2 linked regions of the Macaca fascicularis genome follow. The protein of the gene in region 1 interacts with the protein of each later gene in a biochemical or structural test. Links are inferred from orthologs where the notes say so. Each region holds a gene or a part of one and is shown in the gene's direction. Other genes may lie near its edges.

The links. The genes of interacting proteins can lie anywhere in the genome.
Region 2: the proteins of RELA (region 1) and ING4 form a complex in vitro, tested with the Homo sapiens proteins (3 studies listed by BioGRID, with this or other methods). The link is inferred for Macaca fascicularis from reciprocal best matches to the Homo sapiens genes RELA and ING4.

What each region holds. Positions count from the first base shown.
Region 1 is NC_088388.1:8,703,484-8,711,345, forward strand, and holds the start of RELA (transcription factor p65), read left to right. Parts: upstream 1-2,936; 5' UTR 2,937-3,022; coding exon 3,023-3,029; intron 3,030-3,502; exon of another isoform or gene 3,503-3,644; coding exon 3,645-3,671; intron 3,672-3,761; coding exon 3,762-3,913; intron 3,914-4,014; coding exon 4,015-4,163; intron 4,164-5,639; coding exon 5,640-5,731; intron 5,732-6,057; coding exon 6,058-6,189; intron 6,190-7,016; coding exon 7,017-7,121; intron 7,122-7,337; coding exon 7,338-7,550; intron 7,551-7,862. UniProt on the Homo sapiens protein: NF-kappa-B is a pleiotropic transcription factor present in almost all cell types and is the endpoint of a series of signal transduction events that are initiated by a vast array of stimuli related to many biological processes such as inflammation, immunity, differentiation, cell growth, tumorigenesis and apoptosis.
Region 2 is NC_088385.1:7,583,697-7,590,464, reverse strand, and holds the start of ING4 (inhibitor of growth protein 4), read left to right. Parts: upstream 1-2,031; 5' UTR 2,032-2,049; coding exon 2,050-2,086; exon of another isoform or gene 2,087-2,103; intron 2,104-6,768.

The sequences.
Region 1 (7,862 bases):
CCAACAAGACTGAGAGGATGGTGTAGTAGCGTTCTAAAGTACCGTTTTAAGTCAGTACAATCTTAGACTCTTTCTATGTTAAGGGCAGGGAAGAGGAGGAGGGTGTGACCAAGAGGTACCCCATGGCAGACATCTGGGCAGCAGCGAGGGGCCAAGGAGGTTGGGAACTTCTTTGTCCTTGGTCTAGTTACAATGCTCCTATAAATCTTTAAGAAAACATAGTTGTTTACATACTTCTTTAACCCCAGACTAAGTTTTAAAAACTACATGATTGCTGTTTTTGCATATTAGCTCAGTGCTCTAAAGCTTACGGTAGCAAAAAATTAGAAGTCCAAATGCCCATGGCCGGGCGCGGTGGCTCACGCCTGTAATAGCACTTTGGGAGGCCGAGACAGGCAGATCACTCATGAGGCTGAGGCAGGAGAATCACTTGAACCTGGGAGGCAGAGGTTACAGTGAGCCAAGATGGCACTATTGCACTCCAGCCTGGGCGACAAGAGAGAAACTCCATCTGAAAAAAATGAAAATAAAAATGTCCGTCTTCAGGATGACTAGATAAACAAACAGTGGTATATTTACACAACAAAACAGTATACAGCAGTGAAAAGTGAATTAACTGTGAAACAGATGAATCATAGTAATATGTTGAGTGAAAAAAGCAAGTAACAAAGGACAACAAATCATATGATGCCCTCTACATAAAAGTTCAAAACTGGCCGGGCGCGGTGGCTCAAGCCTGTAATCCCAGCACTTTGGGAGGCCGAGGCTGAGGTCAGGAGTTCGAGACCAGCCTGGCCAACATGGTAGAACCCCGTCTCTACTAAAAAAATACAAAAATTAGCCAGGAGTGGTGGTTGGCCCCTTTAAATCCCAGCTACTTGGGAGGCTGAGGGAGGAGAATCGCTTGAACCCGGGAGGTGGAGGTTGCAGTGAGCCGAATGCCACTGCACTCCAGCCTGGACGACAGAGCGAGACTTCATCTCAAAAAAAAAAAGTTCAAAACTAAGGAAAACCAAACAATATATTGTGTAGGCATGCAGATATGAGTAATTTTTTTTTTTTAAATACAGAATTCTGGCCCAGGCGTGGTGGCTCATGCCTGTAATTCCACTTTGGGAGGCTGAGGTGTGAGTATCGCTTGAGCCCAGGAGTTTGAGACCAGCCTGGGCAACACAGCAAGACCCATCTCTAGTTATAATGAATTAATTAATTTAAGAAAATACAGAATTCTGGCCCAGCGTGGTGACTCATTCCTGTAATCCCAGCACTTTGTGAGGCCAAGGTGGAAGGAAAGTTGAGCTCAGGAGTTCAAGGACAGCCTAGACAACAAGGTTAAACCACTTCTCTACAAAAAAATACAAAAACTTAGCCAGGCATGGTGGTGTGCTCCCATAGTCCCAGCTATGCAGGAGGCTGAAGTGGGAGGATTGCTTGATCCTAGGTGGTAGAGGCTGCAGTGAGCCAAGACTGTGCCACTACACTCCAGCCTGGGCGACAGAGCGCGAGCCTGTCTCAAAAAATAAATACATACAATACAATACAATACAATGCAGAATTCTGCACGGTGGTGGTCCCTTAAGTTTTGCAATGGGTACACGGGTGTTTATGGTATTAATTTAAAAGTTATAAATATACAAGAATTTTAAGAAGAGGATCCATGCAAGGTTTAATGATAATTGTATGTCATCCATTCGCTCAACTGAAGTCGGCCTTCCCCGCCCCCTGCCAAAAGTAAACACTTTTCTAATCAGGGCCAGCCACTGGAGAAACTGAAATGAGTGGGCGGGGTGCTAACTCTATTTTCACTTTTCTCTTCCTGTTTCTTCAGAGCCTGGGAAACAAGTCAGAATTTCCAATCTTTTCCAATTCCCACATGATTTCCTAATTCAAGACGAATTCAGAGAAAATAAGTCTTTCTCCATCTGGAGAAGACTCCGCCCCCTGGAGCATCCTCCTTCGGGGATGAGGCCTGAGGTGGGGCTGCGCCAGCCCCAGCCCCCACAAGGACGCGCCTTGGGCTTGGTCTTGGGGGAGCTACCCGCACTGTGGGGTCACATGACAGAATTAGTGGTCAGCCCTAGCTGGAGGTCCAGGGCAAACACAGGCGGGGGCAGTGGGGTTGGGGGTTGTGGCCCTGCTGATTCGAGTGTCCCCTGTGGGTTCCGGACCTTCTGAGATACAAGCGCCAGGCTTCAGAGACGAAGCTCCGGGGTTTACCCCTGGGGACCCCCTGCTCCTGCAGCCGCTGAGGGCCGGCAGTTTGGCTGCATAGTAAGCTGGCGCTTTAGCTGGAGAGGGACGAGCTCTCGGCCAGCTCGCCAGCGGGAGGGCCTCAAGTTGTCCCATCCGGGCTGCAGGCTCCGCAAAGCTCCCTGATGCACTGTCAGAGGGGGAGGTCCGGCCGCTCCCCTTCCCCTACAGCCGCATCTAGAGTGGGGTAGGTTGGACATTTTAACGTGCTTCTGAGACAGTCACCACCGAAAGGCACCTTTAGCGATGAGGAAACCGGCGTGGAGTTCAACCACCCGGCCTCTGCGGAGCAGAAGGCCCGACTGGGCCTTTCCCTGCGCGGGGCGGGCGGCCGCAGCCCCGTAGCCCGGGCTTTGCTCCAGACCCGGCCCAGAGTGACATCACCAAACTCCGCCGATCGGTGGGAGGGGGCCCTGAAATCCCCTAAAAACAAAGTGAGTAATCGGCGGACCCGCCCTCCAGGCGGGGCCGGGACCCGGGAGCTAGCCGAACCACCGGGCACACCAGCCTCTTCGTCCCCGGCGACGCGCGCACTTGGCCCCGGCCCCCGGCAGCGGCTGTGCGCGCGGCCTCTTCGTCCTCCGCGCGGCGCGCACTTGCTCCCGGCCCCTTCGCCGGGCGGCGGCGGGGCAGCGCGCAGGCGCGGCCGGATTCCGGGCAGTGACGCGACGGCGGGCGCGCGCGGCGCATTTCCGCCTCTGGCGAATGGCTCGGCTGTAGTGCACGCCGCGGGCCCAGCTGCGACCCCGGCCCCGCCCCCGGGACCCCGGCCATGGACGGTGAGGTCGCCCTCTGACCCCGCGGGGTGGCCGCGCCGGGACCGCCCCGGCTGTGGCGGGAGGCCCCGCGCCGCTTTCCGCCCCTTCCTGCGCCGACTGGCGCTGCGCAGGGAGCGGTCGGCCTGCCGGATGGTGGCGCGGGGCGGGGCAGGCGGGGAGGGGTCTGACTCAGTTTCCCCTCTGGGTGGAGGGGGGCCCTTGACTCAGCATCCTCCCTGGGTGGGGGAGCAGAGGGAGCCTTGACTCAGTTTCCCTCCACACCGTCCATGGGGGCAGCTCTGGCTTCGTTTCCCTATTAGGGGAGAACGCATCTGATTCAGTTTCCTCTCTGGATGGAGGTGGGGCGTGCCCTCCCTCAGTTTTCCTTATGAAAGTACAACAGGCCCTGATTCGGCTTCCCTCGGGAGAAGGATTCCTTACCCCGTTTTCCCTCAAGAAGCAGGTGTTTCTGGTTCCTTTCCTCCACTCCTTAGTTTCACCGCAGGTTCTAGGAAGCAGGTCCTTACTCAGTTCCCCTGGGAGGGAGCCTGGCTTCTCTTCTCTGTGGAGAGCAGATACTCCCTTGTGAGGATGGGCAGTGGGTGTGTGCTGACCCTGATCTCCCTCCCCTTTCAGAACTGTTCCCCCTCATCTTCCCGGCAGGTAAGTGGCCCCCGCAGCGGTCCGGGAGGTGTTCCCTGGGGTAGGGCAGCGGGGGCAGCTGTCTAATGGGCCTGCGGTGTCCCCTGGCAGAGCCAGCCCAGGCCTCTGGCCCTTATGTGGAGATCATTGAGCAGCCCAAGCAGCGGGGCATGCGCTTCCGCTACAAGTGCGAGGGGCGCTCCGCGGGCAGCATCCCAGGCGAGAGGAGCACAGATACCACCAAGACCCACCCCACCATCAAGGTCAGCACTGCACCAGGGTGTGCGGGGAAGGGACTGTGGAACCCCAGCCCTCTGTGTCTGGGAGTCAGGTTTGGATGTCTGGGCCTCTGTACTTTGGACAGATCAATGGCTACACAGGACCAGGGACAGTACGCATCTCCCTAGTCACCAAGGACCCTCCTCACCGGCCTCACCCCCACGAGCTTGTAGGAAAGGACTGCCGGGATGGCTTCTATGAGGCTGAGCTCTGCCCGGACCGCTGCATCCACAGGTGAGCTCCCTGCAGGCTAGGAGGCCCAGCATGAGGGAACAGGAGGCGGGCTATGAAGTAGCCGCTACAGTGTTACTCCTTTCTGGACACAGGGCAGAGTTGCTTACTTCTTGCTCTGACTCAGCTCTGCAAGTAAACTCTCTTTGTCTTGAAATGATCTATTTGTACCTCTACTCTAGCACAGATAAGAGCTCCAAGGGATATGGATGGGTCCCTAATCACTTCTGAATCCCTGACCCCTGTAGCTGGAAGGACAAGTCCCTTGGAGTCATGTCTCTTGTTTGAGAAAGAAAACCACTGAACCAACACTCTCCCCTGGAGGTGACATTGCAGTTGACAGAAACAGGCCTTAAAAAAATATACAGGCCAGGCATAGTGGCTCATGCTTATAATTCTAGCACTTCCGGAGGCCAAGGCAGGAAGATCTCTTGAGCCTGGGAGTTCAAGACTAACCAAGGCAACATAGTGAGACCCTATCTCTACAAAAAAATAAGAAATTAGCTGGGTATGGTGACTTGTGCCTATAGTCCCAGCTACTTGGGAGGCTGATGTGGGAGGATCACCTGAGCCCAGGAGGTCACCGCTATGGCAAGCTATGATTACACCACGACACTTGGGTAGCAGAGCGACACCTTGTCGTGTTTTTTTTTTTTTTTTTGAGACGGAGTCTTGCTCTGTCCCCAGGCTGGAGTGCAGTGGCGCAATCTCAGCTCCCTGCAACCTCTATCTGCCGGGTTTAGACCACTGTCCTGCCTCAGCTTCCCAAGTAGCTGGGACTACAGGTGCCCGCCACCACGCCCAGCTAATTTTTTTGCGTTTTTTTTTTTAGTAGAGAAGGGGTTTCACCATGTTAGTCAGGATGTTCTCAATCTCCTGACCTCATGATCTGCCTGTCTCAGCCTCCCAAAGTGCTGGGATTACAGGTGTGAGCCACCGCACCCGGCCCAACACCCTGTCTCTTAAAAATAAATAAATACACAGATAAATAAACAAGGTGCTGTCAGAGTAACAATTTCAGTCCTGAAAATAAAACAAAGTCATAGGATAGAAGGATAACCTGGGGTGGGGGAGTTACGGGAGCTGGTGTGATGACTTTAGATTGGAAGGTCAGGGAAGGCCTCCCTCCTTGAATGGTGAGAAGGAGGAGAGAAGTAGGAAAAGAACATTCCAAGCCGACCAAACAAGTGCAGAGGCCTTGAGGTGGGAATGAGTGTCCTGTGTTTAGAGAATGGAAAAGAAGCGCCTGTGGTTGTAAGCAGGGAGCCCACGGGGAGGCTGGCAGGGGCGGGGGCACGGAGGTGCTTGTCAGCTGAGGGAAGGGACAGGGTTCATTGCAGCACAGTAGGAAGCCACTGGAGGGGGTCAAGCATGGAGCGATGGTCTGGGGGTGGGTGGGGGAGGAAGGAGCAGACTGGGCAAGGCAGGAAGGTCCGGGCTGTGTGAGAGACAGTGGGACAGATGGCTGGGGGTGCTCAGTTTCCAGAACCTGGGAATCCAGTGTGTGAAGAAGCGGGACCTGGAGCAGGCTATCACTCAGCGCATCCAGACGAACAACAATCCCTTCCAAGGTGAGGGCTACCCTGCCTGCCGCCCCCGCACCCTCTGCCACCCTCCCTGGCCCGCCTTTCCTGCATCTCCCTCATTGGCCAGTACACGGTAAAGATGGACTCTTGGTGCCCATTCGGTACTCTCCCACTTTGCCATTGGGAAACTGAGGCCCAGGAGGGGACATGACATTCAGGTCACAGTGGAGTCACTGCTGGGTTCTGCCTCCTCTAGGACTTGTGTTTTACACACTCGCCAGCGGCCCTCCCAGAGCAGAGCTCCCTGCCCCAACTGGTCACACCTATATCCCCACTTCCCCTGCTCTCCTGATCACCTGTTTTCTTGCCAGTTCCTATAGAAGAACAGCGTGGGGACTACGACCTGAATGCTGTGCGGCTCTGCTTCCAGGTGACAGTGCGGGATCCATCAGGCAGGCCCCTCCGCCTGCCGCCTGTCCTTTCTCATCCCATCTTTGACAACCGTGAGTAGCGAGGGAGACACAGGAAGGGGAGAGGGTGGGCCTGGATAGGAGGAAGGGGTTGGGGTGAGTGTGGCCTGCAAGAGGTGCTCTGATTCATCAGTCATCTTGTGTATTCATCTTCTCTTCTGTGCCCAGCTCTTTGTTGGCTGGGGAGAGAAGGCAAAGAAGACCCAGAGCTGTCCTTGAGGTGTAGCTCCGGCCTGGCAGGGAGTCTAGCAGGGAGTCTGATGGGAAATGGGCATTTTCAGTATCGTGTGATGAGAAGGTGGTGTGCCCACAACTGCGATAATGACTCTAGGAAACGAACTCCCAGGAATAAGATAGTGTTCGAGAATGATGCTTCAGTGACAGAAGCCCGCAGACGAATTGGGCTGACTGATCAGCTGCAGTCTTTAATTAAGTAACCAGCAGGATGAATGGAAATAAAACGACTCTGGAACCCCAAAGATGGGAAACCAGGATAAACTGGGAGTCAGGAGGGAAGGGCTCATTGCCAAGGTGGGTATGGACTGACCTTAAAGATTGCTTTGGTCAGGTGGAGACACAGTGTGATCAGATTGGCACTCACTGGACTATAAGCTCCGTGAGAGCAGAGGTTTAGGTTTTGTATGTGGTTGTATTCTCCTTGCTTAGATCAGTAGGCAAATACTTGCTGAATTGGTTGGGGTGAGGAGCTAATAAGAAGGTCTGACTGTGGCTGCAAAGGTGTAGGTGGCAAGCTCTGGGCAACCTTGACTTGGGGCTAGGCAGGGAAGTTGCATCTCCTGCAGGCCACCCCGGGGACCTCTGGTGGCTCAGGTCATCCTTCCTTGTTCTCACTGCCTCAGGTGCCCCCAACACTGCCGAACTCAAGATCTGCCGAGTGAACCGAAACTCTGGCAGCTGCCTCGGTGGGGATGAGATCTTCCTACTGTGTGACAAGGTGCAGAAAGGTATACATCAGGAGGCAGGGGTGGGCTCTTGGGAGCAAGGGGTGAAGCTGAGCAGAGACGGGGCGTGGCAGGCAACTGGCTTTGGATACTTCCTCCTATGCCTCAGGGGCCTCAGGTGGGCCGAAGGGTGATATTAGAAGACAAGCATCCGAAGTTGAGGGGGAGACCGTGGAGGGTTAGACACACTGACCCACACTGCCACCCCATCTCCTGCAGAGGACATTGAGGTGTATTTCACGGGACCAGGCTGGGAGGCCCGAGGCTCCTTTTCACAAGCTGATGTGCACCGACAAGTGGCCATTGTGTTCCGGACCCCTCCCTACGCAGACCCCAGCCTGCAGGCTCCCGTGCGTGTCTCCATGCAGCTGCGGCGGCCTTCCGACCGGGAGCTCAGTGAGCCCATGGAATTCCAGTACCTGCCAGATACAGGTACACAGCTGGGATGGCAGCATCAGGGCAGCTGGGCTCTGCCATGAGAGAGAGGCCAAGACCGCATGTCTGGGGCTGTAGTTGAGGGCCAGAAGCTGGAGTCAGAGCTTGGGATTTATATGGTAATTGGAATCCATTTCTTGCCACATTTAATGATAAGGATACCTCAGACGTTGAGCTAGTACTACACATCTGCCCTATTCCAGGCATTTCACTGGATCACCTGATTCTAATGTCATGACCCTTTTGAAGTAGGAGATAGTGTCTGACTTGCTTGGGTTCACGTGGCTAGTAAGTAGCAGAGTCAGCATT
Region 2 (6,768 bases), on another chromosome or scaffold:
TAATATAGCTGAAAGTCTGTCTCATTAAAAACTTGACATAGGCCGGGCGCGGTGGCTCAAGCCTGTAATCCCAGCACTTTGGGAGGCCGAGACGGGCGGATCACGAGGTCGGGAGATCGACCTGGCTAACACGGTGAAACCCCGTCTCTACTAAAAAAATACAAAAAACTAGCCGGGCGAGGTGGTGGGCGCCTGTAGTCCCAGCTACTCAGGAGGCTGAGGCAGGAGAATGGCGTGAACCCGGGAGGCGGAGCTTGCAGTGAGCTGAGATCCGGCCACTGCACTCCAGCCTGGGCGACAGAGCGAGACTCCGTCTCAAAAAAAAAAAAAAAAAAAAAAAAAAAAACTTGACATAAGACATTGATAATTCTTATGAAGGGTGTGTGAGGGTATGAAAGGCGTGAGGGGTGGCAGCTATCTCTAAGATGCTATCTTACTAACACCACTATTAGGTTATGGCCTTTGAGTTCTATTTGCCTAGTGTGTTGGCAGACTCTCATACCCTTGACTGCTTTCCATTCTGATGGAAACCATAGAAATCACTCTACCATAGCTAACTAGAGTGATGGCTGGCAACTAGCTAGCCAACTAGCCCTGTAGTGATAGTGCTGCATCACTCGACCCCTTCAGAATTATGATGCTAACATCACATATAAACAAAAGGAAAACAAAAACATGAGGTTTCCCCCTTAGAGAGTAGCAAGAGGTGCCAGGCACAGTGAATCACGCCTGTAATCCCAGCACTTTGAGAGGCTGAGGAGGGCAGATCGCCTGAGGTCGGGATTTCAAGACCAGCCTGACCAACATGGAGAAACCCCGTCTCTACTAAAAATACAAAATTAGCCAGGTGTGATGGTGCATGCCTGTAATCCCAGCTACACGGGAGGCTGAGGCAGGAGAATCACTTGAACCTGGGAGGTGGAGGTTGTGGAGAGATGGCTCCATGATCACGCTATTGCACTCCAGCCTGGGCAACAAGAGTGAAAATTCTGTCTCAAAAAAAAAAAGTAGCAAGAGGGCAACGTCAGAAGTAATATTTTGGCCGGGCGCGGTGGCTCAAGCCTGTAATCCCAGCACTTTGGGAGGCCGAGATGGGCGGATCACGAGGTCAGGAGATCAAGACCATCCTGGTTAACACGGTGAAACCCCGTCTCTACTAAAAATACAAAAAAACTAGCCGGGCGAGGTGGCGGGCGCCTGTAGTCCCAGCTACTCGGGAGGCTGAGGCAGGAGAATGGCGTAAACCCGGGAGGCGGAGCTTGCAGTGAGCTGAGATCCGGCCACTGCACTCCAGCCTGGGCGACAGAGCGAGACTCCGTCTCAAAAAAAAAAAAAAAAAAAAAAAAAAAAAAAAAAAAAAAAAAAAAAAAAGAAGTAATATTTTATATGTGAAAGTATTCGAGTATAAAGTACAGGAGGTCTGACAAAAGATGTGCAGAATTATAGCATTATTGTCATTATTTGTATTTATAAGTAGAAAGTTGATAATCCTTCTCAAGCTTAAAAAATAATGCTGGGGGAGATGGTGTTTGTGTGAGTGAAAAGAAATGCAAAGGGTTTAAATCTCTCAAGGCTTGATACTCTTCCCCAACTTCCTTAAGAAACTAACTGGCTTGAAAAAAGTCATATTCTGCAAAGAGGGAAAAAAAGCTGTATCTTCCAGTCGCTGAGAAGGGATGTTTACGCAATATAAGCCTAAAGTGAACAGTTACCCCTGCACCGATTGCTATACATTCCCGTTTTGGAGGGAAAAAAGTTTGCCCGATAATGCAAAATGGCGACCTTCAGTGACGTCATACCTGTCTCGGTCGCGTCCTGGGGTCTCTGTAAGGGCGGAAGCGGGCTACAGCTGCCTCACTATGGGCGGTCGTGGCTACCATGCAAAAGGAAAAGTTTGAGCGTCGGGCGGATGTGTACCGGCGGTAACATAGTAAGGGCGGAAGTTCTCCTTTTAAGGGCGGAAAGGCTTTAGCCCCAAAATGGCTTCGGACCCTGTCGCGTTATAGTCACTTCCGGGGCGGATCGGAAGTTGCTTTGTTTTGCTTCGAGATGGCTGCGGGGATGTATTTGGAACATTATCTGGACAGTAAGAGCAGGCTGGAGGTGGGGGTCGGGGCTGTAGAGTGGTGCGGGGATCAGGGATGAGAGGATCTGTAGCCCTTAAGTCTCAATGACGAGAAGGTTACAATTGTGAGGGGGTTCTGTGGCAGGAAATATTGGAGGGTGCGGAGAAAGAGGGGGCGGGGCAGCAGGATCGAGGCCCCGCTGTTGGGGGTAGAGGAGGGAGGGGCTGCGGTGTGGGGGTTAGGGACGTGTCTTGAAGGGCTAGTGTGCACGGCCGGGAAGATAATTGCTGCCCCCATTCTCCAGCGTCTCCAGCCTCTGGGTAGATTTTTTTCCTATAGTCGTTCAGAATCGTTATCACCCACTGTCATTTGGAGCAGCGGTGAAGACCCCTCCTCCACCCCATTCTTCCTCAGAAGTGGCTTCTCGTGGGGTTGAGAGTGGTGGTGGTGAGAGTGGTGGTGGTGAGAGTGGTGGTGGTGAGTGACCACTGTCAGATGATGAGCTGGAACGCTTCTCTTCGTGGAGTAAAGATCTAATTCCCATCAAATGAAAATCTGGTGTTATGCCATTTATGTAAACCACCCCTGCACAAAGCCTGTCGCCCTATGCGCTTACATTTGTTTTAGGGCCCGGAGTCATTTATTCAACAAATATTTATTGAGTTCCTACTATGGGTCAGACATAATGGCAGGCACTAGGGATAGAAAAATGGGTAAGACAAGGCCCCTGCCCTCAAGAAGCTCTCGATCTAGAAGGAAACAGATTCTGCAAGTAATTGTAAAACACTGTGACAAGTGAAATAATGGAAATCCATTAAAAAGGACATTTGGTAGGCAACACTGCAGAAAAGGGGGGTAATTACCTGGCGATGTAGGAAAAGCTTTACAGAGGAGGTGATGTTTGAATAGGGTCTTGAAGGTTGTTTGCCAGTGAGGAGAGAAAAAGGGAATTCTAGGTTGGGGAAAGTGTCTGCAAAGGTACTGTGATAGGTTTGTGGCAAAGTCAAGGGTGTTTGATATTTATGACTCAGAGGTCAGCGTATTTAATATTTATGACTCTAAGGTAAGAAATTGAGAAACGAGACTGGAGAAAGAAGCTGAGGCTAGATTGGACAAAGTCTTTTAAGCCAAACTAAGAAGTTTGCATTTTAAAGTACAATGTGATTTTTATAAACGAAAATGACTAATATATGGTACATTGAAGCATGATATCACTGATAACAGAGATCAATTTAGTGATAACATTCCAGGACAGAGATAAGAACCTGATTTTAGGGAGTTATGGAAGTATTTAGGAGTTAAATATGAAAGGACTGCCGGGCGCGGTGGCTCAAGCCTGTAATCCCAGCACTTTGGGAGGCTGAGACGGGCGGATCACAAGGTCAGGAGATCGAGACCATCCTGGCTAACACGGTGAAACCCCGTCTCTACTAAAAAATACAAAAAACTAGCCGGGCGCGGTGGCGGGCGCCTGTAGTCCCAGCTACTCGGGAGGCTGAGGCAGGAGAATGGCGTAAACCCGGGAGGCGGAGCTTGCAGTGAGCTGAGATCCGGCCACTGCACTCCAGCCTGGGCGACAGAGCCAGACTCAGTCTCAAAAAAAAAAAAAAAAAAGAAAGGACTGACTGACTGGGTGGTTGAGAGAGAAGGAAGAATCTAAGGTGGCTTCTTGCTGCTTAGAAAGTGAGGTAGACAGGCTGGGCACAGAATCTTATGCTTGTAATCCCAGCACTTTGGGAGGCCAAGGTGGGCAGATCACTTGAGGTCAGGAGTTTGAAACCAGCCTGGCCAACATGGTGAAACCAGTCTCTATTTAAAAAAAAAAAAAAATTTATCTGGGCATGGTAGCATGTGACTCTAATCCCAGCTACTTGGGAGGCTGAGTCAGGAGAATCACTTGAACCCAGGAGGTGAAGATTGCAGTGAGCCAAGATCATACCACTGCACTCCAGCCTGGGCGACAGAGAGAGACTCTGTGTCCCTCTTAAAAAAAAAAAAAAAAAAAAAAAGGCCGGGCGCGGTGGCTCAAGCCTGTAATCCCAGCACTTTGGGAGGCCGAGACGGGTGGATCACGAGGTCAGGAGATCGAGACCATCCTGGCTAACACGGTGAAACCCCGGCTCTACTAAAAAATACAAAAAACTAGCCGGGCGAGGTGGCGGGCGCCTGTAGTCCCAGCTACTCCGGAGGCTGAGGCAGGAGAATGGCGTGAACCTGGGAGGCGGAGCTTGCAGTGAGCTGAGATCTGGCCACTGCACTCCAGCCTGGGCGACAGAGCGAGACTCCGTCTCAAAAAAAAAAAAAAAAAAAAAAAAAAAAAAAAAAAAAAAAAAAAACTTGTGGCCAGGCCAGGTGGCTCACGCCTGTAATCCCAGCACTTTGGGAGGCTGAGGCGGGCGGATCACGAGGTCAGGAGATCGAGACCAGCCTGGCTAACACAGTGAAACCCCGTCTCTACTAAAAATACAAAAAAATTAGCTGGGCGTGGTGACGGGCACCTGTAGTCCCAGCTACTCAGGAGGCTGAGGCAGGAGAATCGCTTGAACCTGGGAGGCGGAGGTTACAGTGAGCCACTGCATTCCAGCCTGAGCAACAGAGTTAGACTCCGTCTCAAAACAAAAACAAAAAGGCTGGGAGTGGTGGCTCACGCCTGTAATCCTAGCACATTGGGAGGCTGAGATGAGTGGATCACCTGAGGTCAGGAGTTCAAGACCAGCCTGGCTAACATGGTGAAACCGTCTTTACTAAAAATACAAAAATTAGCTGGGCATGTTGGCAGGTGCCTGTAATCCCAGCTACTTGGGAGGCTGGGGCACAAGAATCCTTTGAACCCGAGATTGTGCCATTGCACTCCAGCCTGGGTGACAAGAGCGACACTGCACCTCAAAAGAAAAGAAACGAAAGTTAGAGGAGAAAAGATCATGCCAACTGCTGCAGAGATATTTTTTAGGATAGGTTTAATAACACCGTTAGATTTGGTACATCGACGGTGACTTAATCTTGTGAACTGGTGGTAGCAGACCTGAAGTTGTACGTTTAAACAGTAGAGGCATTTTGTTTTTTTTTTTATTTATTTTGTTTTAGGTGTTTTTGTTTGTTTGTTTTTGAGACAGAGTCTCGCTCTGTCGCCCAGGCTGGAGCGCAATGATGCGATCTTGGCCCACTGCAACCTCTGCCTCCTGGGTTCAAGCAATTCTCCTGCCTCAGCCTCCCGAGTAGCTGGGACTACAGGTGCCCGCCACCATACCCAGATAATTTTTGTATTTTTAGTAGAGACAGGGTTTCACTGTGTTGGCCAGGTTGGTCTTGAACTCCCGACCTCAGGTGATCCACCCACCTTGGCCTCCCAAAGTGCTGGGATTACAGGCATGAGCCACCATGCCAGGCATTTTATTTTTAATATATATATTTAATTTTTTAGACACAGAATCTGGCCATGTTGCCCAGGCTGGTCTCAAACTCCTGAGATCAAGTGATCTGCCAGCCTTGGCCTCCCAGAGTGCTGGGATTAGAGGCGTGAGCCCCTGTGCCCGGCCAGTAGAGGCATTTTGAAAGTTTTAGGTGGAGTCTTGGGAAGAGATTTTTCTTGTACTGAGGGGACAAATATTCATGCATTTATTCAAGTATTTTACTGACTACTTGCTCTTCGCAAGTCATAATTCTAAACACTAGGGAAACAGGAGAGAATATGATAGCCATGTTCGGCGTGGGGAGACAGATACCAAATAACTAATTACACAATTATTATTTTTTTATTTTTTTGTTTTTTGAAACAGTCTTGCTCTTTTGCCCAGGCTGCAACCTCCACCTCCCTGGTTCAAGCAATTGTCCTGCCTCAGTCTCCCGAGTAGCTGGAACTACAGGCACAGGCCACCATGCCCATCTAATTTTTTTTTTTTTTTTTTTTTTTTTGAGACGGCATCTCGCGCTGTCGCCCAGGCTGGAGTGCAAGTGGCATGATCTCAGCTCATTGAAAGCTCTGCCTCCCGGGTTCACACCATTCTCCTGCCTCAGCCTCCTGAGTAGCTGGGACCACAGGCGCTTGCCACCATGCTCAGCTGATTTTTTTGTATTTTTAGTAGAGACGGGGTTTCACCGTGTTAGCCAGGTTGGTCTCGATCTCCTGACCTCATGATCCACTCTCCTCAGCCTCCCAAAGTGTTGGGATTACAGGTGTGAGCCACTGCACCCAGCCTAATTTTTGTTTTGTTTTGTTTTTGAGATAGAGTCTCGCTCTGTCGCTCAGGCTGGAGTGCAGTGGTGCAATCTCAGCTCACTGCAACCTTCACCTCCTGGATTTAAGCAATTCTTGTGCCTCAGCCTCTCAAATATTTGGGATTACAGGTTTCACCATGTTGGCAAGGCTGGTCTTGAACTCCTGACTTTAAGTGAGCCACCCGCCTCGGCCTCCCAAAGTGCTAAGATTACAGGTGTGAGCCACCGTGCCTGGCCCTAATTTTTGTATTATTAGTAGAGATGGGGTTTTGCCAGGTTGCCTAGGCTGGTCTTGAACTCCTCGCCTTGAGTGATCCACCTGTCTTCCAGAGTGCTGGATTACAGGCGTGGGCCACTGCACCCAGCCAACTAATTACACATTTATTTAATTACAGTTGGATAAGTGCTTTAAAAAGGTAGATAGAATACCTTGACATAGATCTAGGGCAGTTCACAGAGCCTAGGAAAGTTGAGTTTGAGCTGAACT